2 linked regions of the Caenorhabditis elegans genome follow. The protein of the gene in region 1 interacts with the protein of each later gene in a pairwise test. Each region holds a gene or a part of one and is shown in the gene's direction. Other genes may lie near its edges.

Region 1 (4,671 bases):
GGAGTTAAGTACACTTTCTGGTAAACTTAATGCCCCTTAAACTTAAATTACAGACAGAGAACTTATAATTTTCAATAGAGAAAAAAACAGACTTTCAGCGATCGGAACTCACACCAGCTACTCAACTACGCCTTTTTTGGTAAATCTTCTACAATAAGAGCCGAAGGTTCAAAAACGTAGTAAGCGTTTATTGAGTGAATAATACAGATATTACACAAAACTTATGACAACTTGCTTACAATTTGTGGAAAACAGTAAACTTCATCGGAGCAGACGCGCGAGACAACTTTTTGACAATGGTTTTTGTGATGTTGCTACCAGATAGCGCCGGTTCCGAATAGAAACGTTTATCTAAATTTTAATTAATTTGATCTTAAATTTAAGTTTACGAGCTTACCGTTGTTAAGAACTCCCAAAGCTTGATTCATCGCTTTCATTTGATGACTGAAGCCACAATCAAACGAGAAAGAGCTCATCTTTTTTGTAGAAGAATTAAGTGGCGGAAAATGATCAATTGGCACTTGGAAAATCATTTTTCTTGAAAATGTTGAAGAATAAAAGAATATAAAATTCTGCAGATTAATATTCTTCTATTCTTAGCCCATCTTTAATACTGGAATTTGGAACGAGTTTTGAAAAAATTTGACGGAACAGTGATGTAACTTGCCATAAGGACATAAGAAACGTCGTTAAACCATTCAAATAAATTGGATACGGTAATGGTCAATGCGAATCTGGGCGATTTTTGGAAACTCGATCAAAGATGATGAATTCAGGTTTTTGGGGCGTATAACATCAGCGTCAATTTCAGCAAAAATAAAATTATAAGGATTTGCGAAAATCATGAGTTTTGAATTTCAGATCATGTATAATGTCTGAGTAAAAACTTTTCACTTTGGCAGGAATGTTTCCAGGCAGCATAGTAATCAAGTTTACCATGCCACTCCTAAAACTCAAGCATATGCCGAATGTGAGCGGCCATTTCTTAACTCTGTTTATGTCGGCTGCATATGTGTTACTGAAGTATGTTATGGTTATGTATTCGAAGGCCGAACAAGGAGAGAAGACGAGTAGTTTATTACATTACTAAATTAAGGAATGATTAAGTTAGTTCATAGAGTTCACGTTGCACGATCTTCTTAGCCACGTCGTGGGTCAATACACGTTGATACCCAACAGTTATGACGTCATCAAAAAGGTCTCTGCGAGCACTTCACTTGGCAACTCATCAATCCTACATTACTTCAGTCAACTTATTGGCAAATTAATCAAAATCAAAAAAGGACGTGAGAATGAAAAGAAGATCTCCGAGAATCGCGGGAATTTAGACACAGACTTCTCAACTGATTTTGCATGGTTAAGAACGTGCTGACGTTACTTTTTCTGTGAAAAAAATTAGCGCATTGTTTGTAGATCAAACCGTAATGGGACAGTCTGACACCAAGTGCCCCACCTTGATCTCCCGAACTATAGCCGGCCCAATTGGCCATTTCATTTATTTGTTTAAATCATAATTTTCACGTTTCTTCCTCTTTCCGGTGTAACTCTTATCTTGACAAATAAGCATTAATATTATTTATCAAAAACACAAAACTAATACAAATTTCTTCCGTTTCTTCCTTAGTCATCAAGCTATTTTCTAACCCCCACGCCATGTCATTATGGAAAATGTCAATTTCCATAAGAATTTGAGCAGTTTTATGATTCACCTATTTTGTACGTTACAAGGCACATTCCAAATGAGCTAGCCTGCGTGATAAGTGATAAGGAGGCGGTTGATAACGCCCCGTTTTACCATTTTAAGTGTTTCAGACCGTTAATGTCGCTATACAACTATTATTTATTTAGATAATAGTGATTGGAACGGCTCAGTTTTTCTCATTTTTTAGTTTCAGTGTTTTATATTCAAATTAAAAATATTCAAGTTTTGTTTTTTTTTATTCAAAACTAATTTCTAGAATAAAAACGCCATGACTGACCCTCTCAACCCAACGCGTCTGCAAAATCATCCCGCTCTTGCAAGAATTATTGAAAGCGGGCGGACAAATTTGCCAACCGGAATAACTACCAGTGGAGCACTTTCTGCATATGCTCAAAATGCGGCTGCTATCATCAGAGACAATCGTGAAAGGGAGAAGGTTGAAATTGCAGATTTGAATAACCGATTGGCACGATATGTAGAGAAGGTTAGTTGAATTTTACTAGATTTTGAAACTGTGTAAGTGATAGGTTTATAATCATTGTTGTCCAAATAATTTTGGTATGGAGTGCGCCAAGTTTTTTAAATTTATTTTTATAATTAAATAAATTAATCCGGAAAACCTGAATAAAGTATCAAGTGCACACTGAGCCTTTACCAAAATATTAAATATTGTATAATATTCTGTTTGAACAAAACTATTTTTCAGGTGCGCTTCCTTGAAGCACAAAATCGAGTTCTTGAAAACGACATTGGTGTTTTCCGTAATGCAGCACACACACATTCGGAACGAATTGCTGTCTATTTTGAATCCGAAAAAGCCGTAAGTAATCATTTTTCTATTAAGCTTTAACTTTAAATTGCAGTCGCTTTTCACTTTGGTCCGTGAAAACAAAGCTAAGATCTCGACGGCTGAGCAAAATATCAGAAAACTGGAGCCAGATGTGATTTCTGCAAAGAAAAAGTTAGTTTTTTGTAAATTTACTATACAACTAGTTGTACATATAATTTCAGTTTGGAAAGCTCTTTCCAGCTGAGAGTTCAAACAAGAGAAGACAAAAGAAGTCAAATGAAAATTTTGTCAAACCTGGAGGCAGAGGTTAGTAGACACAATTTGTGTAAAATTAATACAAAAAATTATTTTTTTGACCTAGCAATAGTTCTGGTGCAACAGTAAAATTTCCATTTTTCAAATTGTTTTTTTGAGTTCTCCGATTTCTCAAATCCAACAATTTACAGAATTCTTACATCAAACGTCTCACAACTGACTGTGAAGAAGAAAAAAGCCGTGTCCACTCTGAAATTTCGCGTCTCCGAAGTGATATCAAACGAGTGCATGCACTGCGAGACAAAGAACGCAGCAAGCACTCAAGTTCGTCTCAAGAGTTATTGAAGCGTCTTAACGGGTGCATTTCACAACACGACATTGCCATTCGAGAGGAAATTAGCAAGGCTAGACGTGACACAACAAACAAGAACAGGGACTATTTCCACAATGAGCTGCACGCGGCGATGAAAGAGATTCGAGACCGATTCGAGAAGGATTCACGTGCCGCCAGAAAGACATGGGAGGATTGGTATCACAAAAAGATCACGGAAATCAAGAAGGGATCCGAAAGCTATAGCTCAATACAAAACCAGGCAAGAGAAGAGATTCTTCGAATTAGGTCGATTGTCAACGAGTTCCGAGGAAAGCTTTCAGATTCTGAAACTATCGTGAGTTTGGGAGTTTGGGATCATTTGTTGAAACGTTATTGAATTCAGAATCAACAACTTATCAAACGAATCGACGACTTGCACTTCCAAGACAAGGAAAATCTAAGATTGTTCGAAATTGCACTCAATGAAAAAGAAAATCTAGTAATTAAAATGAGAGAGGAATGCACAAAACTTTCAGTGGAACTTGACAAATTAGTAGAGAACCAGATCGTATGTTCAAAATTTAAAGTTTTAAATTCACAAATTTGTAAATTCCTTAATAATTTCCAGAACTTGCGAAACGAAATCAACCATTACCGCAAACTAATGGAAAACGCTGAGCACCTCCGTACCACAGTTCAAACCCACGTGACCTATAATGCTCCACCGCCACCCTTGCCACAGTCAGGCCCTAGAACAACTTCCTACCACGCCTATGGTTCGGCATACAACGATTCCTTATTGTAACAACTTCGATTGTCATGTTTTTGTTAATTTTGAGTATTGTAATTTCACAATTTCAAACCACCCATGTTCAAATGTACGGCTTGAACTTGCAAAAGTTTGAAGAATTTATTTTTCTCAATTTTCATGTTATTTATATGTTTTATGAATTAACGAATAAAATGTTTTATTTTACTTTCTATGTAACCATTAATCGGATGAAGGTGGGGTGTTCAGTTTACCAATGTAGATCAAAAATAATTCAAAAAAATTTTTTTTGGTACTCTTTCCCTTTTTGTTTCTGAAACCTGATTATGAAGAAGATGTAGGCTTGATGATGGTTGAAAAAAGTGACGTCACTGGGGCAGGGTTTTCTACACTTTTTTCGAAACGCAAAAGCCTTTTTAGTTGTTCTTTATATAGCAGCTCTGGTGTTTTTTTTTTCTAGCAGGCGTATGTGATTTGAAGTTCCTCTTTGATCACTTTGAAATGTAATAATGTACTGATAAACTGTACACGTGAGGTCTTATGTATTTTGTTTGTTTGGCCACACTATACTAGGCAACAAAATTCCAGTTTCCGCTTTTTCTGACTATAAATCATTGGTTGGCAACTCAATATGCATTTTCTGCATTTCTGAAATTATTATAAATGCAATTTCTCAAAAAAAAAAACGGTTTTTTTATATTTTTAAATTTTGAAGTTTTGAACAGTATGAATTCTGAATTTAGTAGCAAATGCATTTTAAACTGTTCAAATTATTAGATATCACTTCCTGTTCTAGTTTTTTTTCAAAGTCTCATTTAGCCTACACTGTTGCGTCGTTATTG
Region 2 (6,047 bases), on another chromosome or scaffold:
GAACATCCATTTGTTGTGGCGGAATAAACTCGGTGTTCTGAAAATGATCATTCGGTTTTTAAAGACTTTAAATATTATACATACGATTCCAGAGTTCCTCGCTTCCTCCATTTCTTCTTCCATGCTTCTTCTTCTCTCAGTTTCGTCTAGTGTGATGGGGAGTTGGCGGAAAAGAAGCATTTCCTTCAGGTGTGTGGCTGGTTGAAATTCCTCTTCTATAAATAAAAAACAATATTTCTACAATTCATTTTTAATCATCAACCTTGTGGAATAGATTTGGTAGGTGTCATGAGCTGGCTCCGGATAAAGTCATCAGATGGGCGTTGAAAATCAGTCTCCAAATTCAGATTATGAACATTTTGACGGCAATCGTTGGAGGAATATCGATCGATGAATGTTCTGAAATATTCTATATATATTGCAAACAATATAAGGAGAGAACTTACAAATCAATCGCTGTGTTCCGATTTTCTGATTCCAACATCCCGTACATCATTTCAAGTTGTTCCATTGTTGGTGCAGCCAAATCGTCTTCAACGTTAATTTGGTCGTTCTTGTGAAGACTGAGAACATCTGGCATTGTAATGTTTTGTTTTAGAGCCACACTCTGTAATAGATTTTATTTTAATTTTGATTTTTGAAACATTTAGACTTACGATCGGGGTAGGAGTGAGAGGAAATTCCTCAACCATCGTTCTTCTCTTCTTCTTTGGTGTTTTAGAGTTGTCACCTTCCATCTGTTCACGAGTTTTTCGTTTCCTCTCATCTTCTTCCGCGAGGTACGAAGTGAATGCGACGATCTCTCGAGCACGAATTGCATCTTCTGTAATATTTGTTAAAGTGATAATTTAAATACTGGCAACGTACGAAGAAGTCGAGCAACTTGAGTACTGAGAACTATGGTGTTTCCGTACACCAAATTACACGCAATGGAGAGAGATCTTCTGTTTTTCCTCTCGTTACTGAGAATCCACTGAATGAGCTTGCTTGCTTGAAGAACATCGTGTCTGAAGCACTCACGACGATTTGATTGCAAGCCGAGTTTCTTGTGAGAACCAAAAACTATTCCTCTGCAAGAAAAAATTTATTAATCCGGCATAAAATACTTTTTATTACAATAGGAACTTCACAGTCGCTTCCTCCGACGCTTTGAGCGGTACATCGATGCTTATCACCATGCTGATTGTTACCTTTCTTACCCGTTTGACTTTCTGCAATTTTTAACTGCAAAGATGTTTAATGCAGATACTCGAAAGAAACGAAAAAATGATAAAAAAGTGAAAAACCCCAAAAATAAATTTGAAAACTCCGCGTAAGCTTGCTCGATCGCTGCGAGACCATTGCATACCGTACTACTTCTTTAAAGGCGCACACATCAAATCTAGCTGTTTCGTGACAGGACCCAGCAATGTTCAGCCGCGAAGTTTTGAATCGCCATTTTTTTTTAATTTCTAGAATGTTTATAGTTTTGCTTTCGATGAGATTTTTAAGCATTATGAGGAACAAATTTTTTTAAAAACTTTAGAAGTTTTAAAATTTAATTTTGCGATTATGCTTTGCTTTCGCGTGTCCTTTCCGTTGTTCCTCGCTCCAAATATATCACAGTAATTAACCACTACTTATGTAGTTATCACGTTTCTAAAAATATAAATTCATTTTTATTTCTCTATTGATTCGGTTTGTTGCTCTTCTTGTCTCAATCTTGTGCTACTGCCGAATACCCTGCTAATTTTTCGTTTTCAGTCATTCGATTCACTTGGGTTGTTGTTTAAAATGGTAAGATTTTTGCAGGTTACTTTCTTTCCCATGAGGTAAATGCATTTATTGCGGGTGCGCTCTATCGCACGACGCCGCGAATCATTGTATTTCAAATTGATTTTCCTGTTGCACTTTTATTAGTTACAATTTTTATTAGTTATTTTTAGTTGGATTCGACAATGGCATCCCGCAAGAAGCACTCCGAGCCCACGTCCAATTTGCGAGTCGCTGTTCGTATTCGGTGAGTTTTAAACTTATTTTTACTTCAGTTAAATATGCCCCTTTTATAGGCCAATGAATGGCACCGAGCGCAGTGAAAAGTGCACCAACGTTGTGAAAGTGGACAAAGGAAAACAAGCTATCGAGTTGAAGGGAAAGTCATTTGGCCCATTTTTCCGGACCTATGACCCAGACACGACTCAGGAAGAAATCTACTCGGACCTCGTGTCATCACAAATTAAGAAGGTTATCGCAGGATTTAATTGCACAGTTTTTGCGTTAGTAGACAGGACGGTTCAATAATATTCAATATAATAGTAATTTTCAGCTATGGACAAACTGGAACCGGAAAAACGTTCACAATGGAAGGAGGGAGAACAGACGCAAAAAGCTCAACTGATGACCCTACGACTGGAATCATACCTCGTGCCGTTGAGGATATTTTCGAGCAGTTGGAAAGATGCGGCTGTGAGGAGTATTCGCTTCGAGTCAGTTACATCGAACTCTACAATGAAGAACTGTTCGATCTCTTGGCTTCGACGGATAATGAAGATCGTGAACGCCTTCGCATTTTTGATGATCCAAACAAGAAGGGAGTAATCGTTTCGGGCGTGGAAGAAGTGCCTGTGCGAAATCGTTCAGATGTCTTCAAACTTCTACAGTTGGGTGCTGAGAAAAGACGAACGGCGGCCACTTTGATGAACATGCACAGTAGCAGATCTCACAGTCTCTTCATGGTCAATGTCGTCATTCGGGAGAATACAACCACTGGCGAGGAACTGGTGAAGCAAGGAAAGCTTAATCTCGTTGACTTGGCTGGTTCTGAAAATATCGGACGATCAGGAGCACAAGGAAATCGTGCTAAAGAGGCTGGTTCCATTAACCAATCGCTTCTGACGCTGGGAAGAGTAATTCGTTTACTGACAACCAATGGCCAGCATATTCCATACAGAGAGTCGAAGTTAACTCGTCTTCTACAGGACAGCCTCGGTGGATCTACAATCACTTCTTTGATTGCTACGCTATCTCCTTCAAGCTCCAATTTCGAGGAAAGTCAGAGTACTTTGGAATATGCTATGAGAGCGGCCAATATCAAGAATAAGCCAGTCTGCAACACAAAATTATCAAAGAAGACTATCCTCAAAGAGTATTCGGACGAAATTGAGAAGCTGCGAAGAGACTTGAGAGCTGCAAGAGAAAAAAATGGTGTTATTATCAGCCAAGAATCGCATGATGAGTTCCAAAAGAATTCGGAAAAAGTTCAGGAGCTCGAACAACATTTGGATAATGCTGTGGATCGTTTGCGAATTTTCACTGAAGATCAGATGCACATGGATGAGCAGTATAGACAGTTGTACGAGAGAAAAGGAGAACTCGAGGATCGTCTGAGAGATCGAATTCGCGAAATGGCTGTCAAAGAGAAAGAACTCGCAGATACTAACGATGTGCTCAACAAGCATATCGAAGTTATCGGTTTGATGCACACATCAGCACTGAAGGCATTCGATCAACTTACAACATCTCAAGGAGCAGCTGATGAAATGCAGACTGATCTTCGTGCATTTTGGCGAAAAGTTGATGAGATGGAAAGAGCTGACGACAGGAATAAAATCGTCATTGACCACTTCTCGAAAAAGGTAATATTAGGATTATCTCATTCTTAGTTAGATGTTTTTTTTCAGATGAGTGATTTCATCGACACGACCTCAAAGCTGACGAACTCGCTGAAAGCTGATGGTGATCTGTTATCAAAGAAGTTGTCGGAAAATATTTGCCCTCATGTCAAATCAATGGAATCTGCTCATCGAGACATTGAGAGTACGGCAATGGATATGGAGACACATGCCATATGCATAATGAAGAAATCGTCGGAAGCGGAGAAGAAAGTCATCGACAACATGACTGCCATATCGATGGAAAATCGAATCAGATTGGAAACAGTCATGAAGACGTGTGATGATTTTTACAAGTCATACTCGGCCAAATCTCAAGAATTCACTCAGATGGTAGTTGACAAATTGGATGAGGTGAAGAAACAAGTATCCGACTTCACAGAAGATATGAAACCATTGGTATCTACTCTCCATCAAACCACATGTGATAGCTACGAAGCACGAACGAATGAAAGTAAGAAGAATGTGGAGCATGTGAGAGCTGCCTGTTCTTCGATGGCTGATTCCATGAAGGCATTGATGTTGCAAGTTGAGCAGCTGTCGACGAAAGTTGCGGAGAATCATGAAAAGTAAGTTTTGCAAGCGGACTTTTTCTGATAATTGTTTTCAGACCATTATAGTTGTTGTGAGATCATGTTTTGATAATTTATTTTTCAGGCAAGTAATTGCGGATCAGAACAACCAAGAAACAATTCTGGATACTCTAAACACAGCAGAAACCGTAGTTCAATCACTCGAAGACAACATTGTGGAGACTTGCGATGTGAAACAAGAAATGGACGACACGAAAAAGACTCTGAAGCAGACTGATGCAAAACAGGAGAACCACATTCAAGTTGAAAAGGAACGAGCGGAGGAAAAGGAAAATGAAGTCAAGGTTCGCAGCAAATTTTTATTTTATCCATTTATACAAATCGATTTCTCGAAGTTGTTCTATTTTCATAAACCCAAATATTGTTCAATCGCGCAAGATAATACATTGTTTTCAGGTCGCTCTCAAGTCATTTTCGGATGAGGCTGAAGCTACGCGTGGAGAGGCAAGGGAGTTTTCGAACACCTTGAAAAGCAGGTTCTCGGCAACCAGTGAAAAGTGCAAAGTAACTGGCGAGCTGGTTTCGGATTGCACCAAGAAAGCAACAGACGAATTGGTTAGTTTTTCCGTGAAATGTGTCTCAATAATGTGATTTATCTTTCAGAGTTCGCTCCTCGATGAATTCACGAAATCGACTATTGTCGTGACAAAGGAGTCGGCCGCCGTTGTCAATTCTGTTGTTCTGGTTCACGTGGACCCATCAGGTTGGTTATCATAAAAAATAACCATCAAGAAAATTATTTTTTCAGTGAATGTCCCACAAAGAATTCTTCCATCGTTCCCACTCGTCTCGGAGTTGAATCAGCCAGTCGAACCCGAAGTTCTTCTTGGATTTGGAGAAGGAAATGACGACTTTGACACCGATGAACTTGCCACAAAGAAGCGTCGTGTCACATCCTTCGTCCGCCGAGACAGTCTTCTCGAAACTACGAACAATTTCCTCAGTCCTTCGTCGATTATAAAGAGAAGAGAACAAGCAATCGAAGAAGAAGAAGATTTCGAAAACTAACGCACACACCAACTCGTTCCATGTCAAATATTTTCTCATTTCTTTAATGTATTCCGCTAATTTTTCTCGTGAAATTCAATAAATTTCTTTGTATTTTAATGACCGGCGTTTTAAACAAATCATGGAAAGCAATTTTCAACAGGTTTCGGTGATATTTCATTATCACACTCATTTAAGATTCAGCACAAAACTATTAGTTCATTTTTCAGAGCTACAGTAACCCTCTGGAATAAAAATGAGCTATAGATCAAATTATCACAGGGATCTTGGAAACATGAAATGAAGTTACAAATTTTACTGAATTCTAGGTTTTTTGCGTTTTTTAGCGCGCTCTAATTTCAAAAAAACTGGCTCACTACGAAAATCTATCAGGTTACTGTAGTTTCGGCTGAAATAGTCTCAGCGAAGTCTCAGTAAATAGAAGTAATTTCAAGGATAACATTTATTCCGTCAACATGATAAAATATACGAAAACAAAATTCAAAAAAAAACAACAGAGAAAAACAAATAACAATTAATGAATCCAAAAGCTTTAACGCTTTCTGAACTTTTTGGCTCCACCTCTCTTGAAACCTCCAGTCGATCCTCTCTTCTTTCCACCTTTCTTCTTTCCACGTTTGCCATCGTCCTCTTCCAAATCTTCCAACATTTCTGCGAATTTATCTCCGGCCATTTCGTAATCATTAGCTCCGATTTCTTCATCACTAGACTCGTCAGCATCTCCAAAGATATTCGCAGAACTCTTTCCTCCAAAGCCGCCATCTTCATCATCATCCTCATCATCATCATCTACTTC

Evidence for each region.
Region 2: the proteins of ifd-2 (region 1) and bmk-1 interact in a two-hybrid assay, tested with the Caenorhabditis elegans proteins (one large-scale study listed by BioGRID).

What each region holds. Positions count from the first base shown.
Region 1 is NC_003284.9:813,217-817,887, reverse strand, and holds ifd-2 (Intermediate filament protein ifd-2), read left to right. Parts: upstream 1-1,958; 5' UTR 1,959-1,970; coding exon 1,971-2,186; intron 2,187-2,408; coding exon 2,409-2,522; intron 2,523-2,565; coding exon 2,566-2,663; intron 2,664-2,713; coding exon 2,714-2,798; intron 2,799-2,938; coding exon 2,939-3,415; intron 3,416-3,463; coding exon 3,464-3,628; intron 3,629-3,688; coding exon 3,689-3,865; 3' UTR 3,866-4,034; downstream 4,035-4,671. UniProt on the Caenorhabditis elegans protein: Cytoplasmic intermediate filaments provide mechanical strength to cells. Not essential protein.
Region 2 is NC_003283.11:14,452,606-14,458,652, reverse strand, and holds bmk-1 (Kinesin-like protein), read left to right. Parts: upstream 1-1,668; 5' UTR 1,669-1,773; coding exon 1,774-1,776; intron 1,777-1,925; coding exon 1,926-1,999; intron 2,000-2,048; coding exon 2,049-2,255; intron 2,256-2,305; coding exon 2,306-3,614; intron 3,615-3,659; coding exon 3,660-4,219; intron 4,220-4,307; coding exon 4,308-4,527; intron 4,528-4,639; coding exon 4,640-4,798; intron 4,799-4,846; coding exon 4,847-4,946; intron 4,947-4,991; coding exon 4,992-5,251; 3' UTR 5,252-5,351; downstream 5,352-6,047. Other genes in the region: coh-3 (Rad21/Rec8-like protein C-terminal eukaryotic domain-containing protein), read right to left, coding at 1-37, 85-215, 263-399, 447-607, 657-823, 868-1,070, 1,117-1,178; F23B12.7 (uncharacterized protein), read right to left, coding at 5,784-6,047.